Linked DNA regions of Kluyveromyces lactis. The protein of the gene in region 1 interacts with the protein of each later gene in a biochemical or structural test. Links are inferred from orthologs where the notes say so. Each region holds a gene or a part of one and is shown in the gene's direction. Other genes may lie near its edges. The genes, in order: CDC24 and STE4.

The links.
Region 2: the proteins of CDC24 (region 1) and STE4 form a complex in vitro, tested with the Saccharomyces cerevisiae proteins (2 studies listed by BioGRID). The link is inferred for Kluyveromyces lactis from reciprocal best matches to the Saccharomyces cerevisiae genes CDC24 and STE4.

Annotation. Positions count from the first base shown.
Region 1 is NC_006039.1:1,097,027-1,101,412, forward strand, and holds CDC24 (Rho family guanine nucleotide exchange factor CDC24), read left to right. Parts: upstream 1-1,604; coding exon 1,605-3,878; downstream 3,879-4,386. Other genes in the region: retrograde cargo receptor ERV46, read left to right, coding at 1-1,113; CIR2 (electron-transferring-flavoprotein dehydrogenase), read right to left, coding at 4,103-4,386. UniProt on the Saccharomyces cerevisiae protein: Promotes the exchange of CDC42-bound GDP by GTP. Controls the polarity of calmodulin, and the calcium regulatory process of bud emergence. CDC24 may be involved in the initial selection and organization of the budding site.
Region 2 is NC_006040.1:584,705-588,168, forward strand, and holds STE4 (G protein subunit beta), read left to right. Parts: upstream 1-1,584; coding exon 1,585-2,895; downstream 2,896-3,464. Other genes in the region: TBF1 (Tbf1p), read left to right, coding at 1-332; KLLA0_D06809g (uncharacterized protein), read right to left, coding at 3,005-3,464. UniProt on the Saccharomyces cerevisiae protein: Implicated in the a- and alpha-factor response pathway. The beta and gamma chains of the putative yeast mating response pathway G protein play a positive role in initiation of the mating response.

The DNA of each region.
Region 1 (4,386 bases):
ATAACGATGTTGTTATTGGTGAGCGAATGGAAGCAATTCAGCACTATTGTCACTAGACCTGATCTCGTGGTTGATAGAGACCGTCATTTGAAGTTGGATCTCAACTTGGATGTGACATTTCCTTCGATGCCATGTAACGTATTAAATCTAGATATATTAGACGATTCTGGGGAATTTCAGATTAACCTATTAGATTCGGGATTCACGAAGATCAGAATTAGCCCAGAAGGGAAGGAACTCTCTAAGGAGAAGTTCCAAGTTGGTGACAAATCATCAAAGCAAAGCTTCAACGAAGAAGGATACTGTGGACCATGTTATGGTGCATTAGACCAATCAAAGAATGACGAGCTACCACAAGATCAAAAAGTATGCTGTCAAACTTGTGACGATGTGCGTGCAGCCTACGGACAAAAAGGATGGGCATTCAAGGATGGTAAAGGTGTGGAACAATGTGAACGTGAAGGATATGTTGAGAGCATCAATGCCAGAATACATGAAGGTTGTCGTGTTCAAGGACGTGCTCAATTAAACAGAATACAAGGTACCATCCACTTCGGTCCAGGTAGTTCAATGCGTAATATCCGTGGCCATTTCCACGACACTTCGCTATACGATGCATACCCACATTTGAACTTCAACCATATAATCAACACCTTGACGTTTGGAGAGAAACCCAAGGATGGAGACAGCGAATTGATCGGTTCTGCTTCAATTTCACCATTAGACAGCCGCCAAGTGTTCCCAGACCGCGACACACACTTCCATGAGTTCTCATACTTCTGCAAGATCATTCCTACCAGATTCGAATTCTTAGATGGTAAAAAAGTTGAAACTACTCAATTCAGCGCCACGTACCACGATAGGCCTCTAAGAGGGGGCAGGGACGAAGACCATCCAAACACTGTTCATTCTAAAGGAGGTGTCCCAGGTGTTTTCTTCAATTTTGAGATGTCGCCTTTAAAAGTCATAAATAAAGAACAGCATGCAACATCATGGTCTGGTTTCCTTTTGAATTGTATCACAAGTATTGGTGGTGTCTTGGCAGTTGGTACTGTCATTGACAAAATCACATACAGAGCACAAAAATCTATTTGGGGTAAGAAGAGCTCTTAAGCAAAGATAGATAGAAAGAGAAATTGTACTACTGTTCTATAAAAGTACATATATAGAAGTTATGTGTGAGTTTGACACTTGTAATTCTTATTTTCCAGTTATAGAACGAAACTCTAGCGTATATCAATATTCAATGCCAGATATGTAGGATTATTACACGACACCTGGCAAGTGCCGCTAATTGGTGTTATACTCTTAAATACCACTGAGAAGTATCTCCTATATAAAAAGAACCTCCAGAATTTGATCCACAACAATGTTTTCGGGCCCCAAAGGTTTTGACCCAGAGATCTCAGTATTGACATTACTCTTGAAAGAAAAAAAAAAAAAGAATAGAATAAAACAATACTGAAATTAACGAAACAGCCAGTGTCTTCGAAGTGAAGTTAAAATAATTCTTATCGTTGTAAGTCTTCCAGAGCTGTACAAACAAGGTTTTTACTATCTAGGAGTGTCAGAGAATAATTCTGTTTTAGTTGCAGCCTGCCATAATGGCGGTAAATCCATCAGTATCCAATGTTTCGCTGACGAGTGTGCGTTCAAATAGCACACATTTATTAATGAACAAAAAGGTGACAGCACAGGAGTCATTATATCATATGTGTTTAATGATCAAGAAGAGATTAGAGTTTCTGCCACAGCTCCAACCATATTTGAATTTAGCGCATTCGAGTTCAGAGATTCTAGCAGAACACCAAGCCCTGCTTTTATCGCAGAAACAGCAGTCACAGCAGCAACATCGGCAGCGAGGTTCGCATTACGAAGGTAGTAGTGCACAAAGTACAAATGGTAGACTTTCCTCCTCAAGTACTCTTCATAGGGACTCTAGTTTCTCGGCTACGAGTTTTGGAGAGGACTCTGAGCATTCTCAGTCCTTTAATATGGAGGACACTTTACTGACTTTTTCTGTTGGTATTACGCCTATATCTGTCGATTGTGACCCTGTAACGCAACTTTCTAAACTATTTCAACAGGGTTCGCCACTTTGTATTATATTCAATGCCGTAAGACCTCAATCTAAGCTAACGGTGGTCTCGTCAGATGATATTAAGATTTGTAAAAAATCTATCTACGACTTCATTCTTGGTCTGAAACAACATTTTGCATTTAATGACGAAGAACTGTTCACCATTTCTGACGTTTTTTCAAATTCGACAGATCATTTCTTGAAAGTTTTGGACGTTGTGAATACGTTGCTGAATGCTGCACCTGAAGTATTCCCACAAATTGATATGAGCACACAGTTGGAATCTCAACGTCTTGCGAAACCACAGACAGAATATGATAAAATTGTCAAAGAATTCATCGAGACTGAGAGAAAGTACGTGCATGATCTAGAAGTTCTGAATAAGTATAGGAAGCAACTTTTAGACAACCAAATTATCAACTCGGAAGAACTGTACATGCTGTTCCCCAATTTGAATGACATAATCGATTTCCAAAGACGGTTTTTAGTGTCATTAGAAGTCAACGGTCAAGTTCCATCTCAAAAACAAAGAATCGGGGCCTTATTCATGCATTCCAAATATTTCTTCAAGCTATATGAACCTTGGTCCATAGGTCAAAATGCAGCGATTGATTTCATTTCGTCTAGTTTCAACAAAATGAACCCAAATAGCACTAATTTTGTCATCGGTAATAAAATGGAACTGCAATCATTCCTTCTCAAACCAGTCCAAAGATTGTGTAGATACCCATTACTTCTCAAAGATCTTTTACAACACGCAGAAAGTGATTCTAAAGAATTGGAGATTGCCTTGGGTATTGCCAAATCCATTGCAAGGAATATTAACGAAAATCAAAGGAGAACAGAAAATTACGAGGTTGTCAAACGTCTCTATGGTCGTGTGGTAAATTGGAAGGGTTACCGCATCGCTAAGTTTGGTGAGTTATTGTACTTTGATAGAATATCAATATCAACGAGCAATTCCAATGAGCCAGAAAAAGATTTTGAAGTGTATCTATTCGAAAAAATCATACTATTATTCAGTGAGGTAAGCCAGAAGAAAGGAAGCTCAATAAGTTTAAAAAAGAAATCGAATTCATCATCTGTTCTTCATCTTTCAAACTCTTCGAACACTAACATGAATGATTTCACGAAGAACACTGGGAAACTGGATTTAAGAGGTCGAATTATGATAGTTAACCTGACTCAAGTCGCTCCGATTGATAACTATTCCCTGAACATTATTTGGGAATCAGCCAAGGAAAAGGGGAACTTCATACTAAAATTCAAAAATGAAGAAACCCGCAACAACTGGGAAAGCTGCCTTCATCAGCTTCTTCGTCAAATTCGCAGCGAGTCCTATAAAAGTGTCAATACGAATAGCGATATGTCGTCATTCTCCTCACCAGTCCAATATTCTCACAACAGTGTTGCCTCCATTGGTAGCACTCTGACCAGACAAATCTCAGAAGTCCTTCCCAAAAGCCATATGTCCAATGCCCGTCAGTCATTTGCAAGCGAATACAGATCTATATCCGAAAGTTACAAAAATTCAATCCCTGACACTATGCTTCTACTGAGGGTCTCATTCAACAACGATTTTTACACAGTCTTAGTATCCTTAGACTGTTCTGCGGAAGATCTGTTGCTTGCGATTAAAAGGAAATTGGCACATTTAGGAGTAATCACGAAGGTAAAATACCAGGATGAAGATGGTGATTTTGTGATGTTGGAAAGTGATGATGATTGGTATGTTGTAAAAGATATGCTGAAAGAGAGTAATGAAAGACTATTGAACGTTTGGGCTTATACAAACTGAGACATATTAATAATATTTTACCTTTGATTGTATTATACATAGATTTCACTTTTTGGCGTTTTTCAAAGGTAAATGAAGACAATTCCAGTTTGACAGGTTCACTTGGTTGATTTAATATAAGTTCAGTTATTAATGAAAATCATATTTTACAGATATGAATAAATAAATTATATTAGATAAATAAATATTTCAGGCCAAATTTTACTCTGACTAATTTAACAAACTCAGGTAAGTGTGTACTTTGGACCATCACCTCCCTCAGGAACTTCCCAATTAATGTCCTGAGTTGGAACCTTGATGTCACAGGTTTTACAATGAATACAATTTTGTGAGTTAATCTGGAATTTCACACCCAATGGGGAGGTTTCGTCTTCAACATACTCATAAACACCAGCTGGACAAAATCTTGATTCGATTCCCTTCCATTTTGGATACGCAATACTAGTATGTTTTTCCATATCTTGCTCAGGGACTCTTAAATGGCATTTTTCGTCATCATCGTGATACG
Region 2 (3,464 bases), on another chromosome or scaffold:
GAATAGACTTACCCGTTAAGCCCTTCAAGACAAAACCTAAGCAAAAAAAGATGTGGACACAAGAGGAAGAAGATTGTTTGAAATCCGGTTTGAAACAGTGCGGACCTGCATGGGCCAAAATATTATCTCTGTACGGTCCTGGAGGAACGGTGTCGGAATCTTTAAAGAACAGGTCCCAAGTTCAACTGAAGGACAAGGCAAGAAATTGGAAAATGCACTACTTAAAAAATATGAAACCAGTTCCAGAGTACTTGGAGAAGGTGACAGGTGATTTAGAAAGAGGTCTGAAAAGCAAGAAGAAACCCAAATCCAAGCCCAAACCAGCGGTCTGATGTGAGCGTCGGGAAAGCGGGACCAATTTAGCATATATAAACTCGTAGTTATCATTGAATGCATAGTCATAGTATCATCTCGTCCTTGAATAACCTTATGCAGCAGTTTTTCACAACAGGATCTATTCGATTCCCTAATCTTTACATTTTTTTGGTTTGTGGCCAGCAAGCTCTTTCATGTGGGAACATTAGGTATATCATAGTATCATTGCATCATGATAGCAAATTCGACTACATGTTGCATTCGAAGTTAGGACTCTAGAACAGTGGTTTTTTTTGGTTGCTACAAGCCACACATCATTAACCGTTCCTGGTACCGGAGACCTTTTCCCCTGTCACCGAAAACTGAACGCAGTAAATGCCATAACGCCATAGTAAATGTATCTAAGTAAGGTGTGAGAGCTATGTGATAGTCTGCGTCTGTATTGAGTGTTCGCGTAGGCTTCCTTTATTTTATTTTTTCACCTAGCGTGGAGATCGTCTTGCAAAGAGCGACAGTTTTTGAGGTTGTCATTTCACAAAAACTTGGTAAGATCTGTCTTGTTTAAGAGAGGCTTTTCTAGGCATCATGTGAAATATACAACGCTGTTTCACTGGGGAGCTTCGACACTGGCCCTTTTGAGGATACAATTCCTCATGCTGTAGAACGAGACGCTAAGGAAAGCACGCTTGAATATGTGCATTGATATCTTTTATATTACTTTTGCTTTTATTTGGAGTGTCTAAATCCATGACTGGAAGTTTGAGCTGCAATTAGCAATTGAGTTACATAGCGAACTAAATAAGGCATTGGTTCATTAGGATTTAACAGCAGTACAGCATATACATCGAAGTTGACAATCTGTTAAACAAGTGAAATAGCAGAGAAAGATTGCCTGTACAGCTTTGGTTCGGAGGTTTAATGTTGTTTGCAAAAATGACATGACTTTTATGCATGATATATATATACATGATGGAAGAAATATGGTCGTTTCCTTTCGCGGCGTTAATGGGCATTTTTGGTACATTGCCTTGTTCATATTTGTAGTAAATTAGTTTGTTGTGAGTAAATTAGGGATATATATATATATGAAGGTCCTGGAGAGGAAATCAGCAGAAAGGACGAAATCTGTTTCAGAGTGCCTCTTAATCGAATCGCAGATTCTAATGCTGGTGATCATTGATTGAAGTTTGCAAAGTTCGATACTTACTCATTTCATTTCAACCCCCTTCCTTTCCTTATTACAGTGTCTAGTTGCAAACAGCATCCAAGATGGAAGTCGATTCAGCAGAATATGCAATTCGTCCACAGGAACTGATTGTGCACGATTACCATTATCCCAATATGAATTCAGCTGGTACAGTGGAGGACAAAATAAGGACAGCAAAGACGGAGTGCAAGCAGTTATACGACCAAATCAACAGAATTAAAGGCAAAATTCAAGACACTCAATTGATGAACTTGTCTCACGGCGTCAATTCATTACACGAGTTAAACTTACAACCGGTTCGAACTTTGAAAGGACATAATAATAAAATCTCAGACGTAAAATGGAGCCAGGATTCGGCAAGCGTACTCAGCTCGAGCCAAGACGGGTTTATAATCATATGGGATCCCTTCACTGGGCTTAAAAAAAGCGCTATCCCCTTGTTATCCCAATGGGTCTTGAGTAGCGCTATCAGTCCCAGCGGAAATCTGGTTGCAAGTGCGGGTTTGGACAATCATTGTTCAGTGTATCGTGTTTCAAGAGATAATAGAATACAACAGAATGTGATTTCCATCTTCAAGGGCCATACCTGCTACATTTCAGCTACGGAGTTTCTTGATGAGAGGACTATTTTGACTGCAAGTGGTGATATGACATGCGCTATGTGGGATATTCCTAAAAGTAAAAGAGTTACGGAATTTATAGATCACTTAGGCGATGTCTTGACCATGGATTTACCACCAGCAAACACTGGTCGATATGGTCATAATTTCATCACCGGAGGATCGGACGGGTATGCGTATCTATGGGATGTTAGACAGCCGAATTCAGCCCAAAGTTTTTTCATCAGTGATAGTGATGTTAGTGCCATCAAATTTTTCAACAATGGAGAATCCTTCATGGCGGGTTCAGATGATGGTAGCGCTAGGTTATTTGACTTAAGAAGTGATTGTCAGATATCGACGTACTCATTTTCAGACGGTTTACTTCAGCAGCACCAGCTTCAACAACAACATCATCCTCATCCTCATTCTCATGCTTATTCTCGTATTCAAAAAAATCGGTATGGCTCATCCTCTTCTTCAACTTCGTCTTATCCAATTGTAAAAACACCTCAATCTTTGAATTTCAAGGAAAGTTGTATCGAAGATCAAGGAGTCATATCAATAGATTTCAGCTCTTCTGGTAGATTGATGTACGCTTGTTATGCGGATTACGGGTGTGCAGTATGGGATATTATCAAAGGAGAAATGATTGGCAAAGTTGATGGTCATCGAAACAGAATAAATGCCGTCAAGACGAGCCCTGATGGAATGGCAGTAGTGTCTAGCTCATGGGATATGACCCTAAAAGTTTGGACACCGGTTCATCAGTGAAATGATGAACTGAGAATGGTAATGCATATCGAAAAAAGCCGCAAAATAGCCCTTATAATACTACTGAAACCGCTCAGTTTGGCTCTTGTTCATCGCAGTAAGTGAAACTTTAAGATGCAGCTGAGGAAGCCTCCACCAACCTGCAAATTTTATTGAGCAGCTGGTTCGGAATTTGAGACAATAATATTACAATGTCATCCTCTTGATGACGTCTCTTAGCAATTTCTTCAGATACCGGAGGAAATGTAACAATTGTATTAATTACCTTTTGAATAGTATCAACATCAGATACCGATATAAGATTAATAGCCCTTTGTAAGTTTGTAACTTGACCCAAACTTATTTCATCTTCATTGTAAATTGGTACACTGCCAGAATTTAATAACTCTTCCCGCAGTTTGGTTTGATGGTAGGGAAACCTTCCCTCATAATCAACATTGTACGCATTATTATCGAAGGATAGTTCGTGATGAAAAGTGTAAGTTGTCGAGCAAAATTTGACCTTTGCTATTATCTTTAGCTCAAACTCACCCCAACCTTGCTCATCTAGGGTGAAGGGAGGTTCCGTG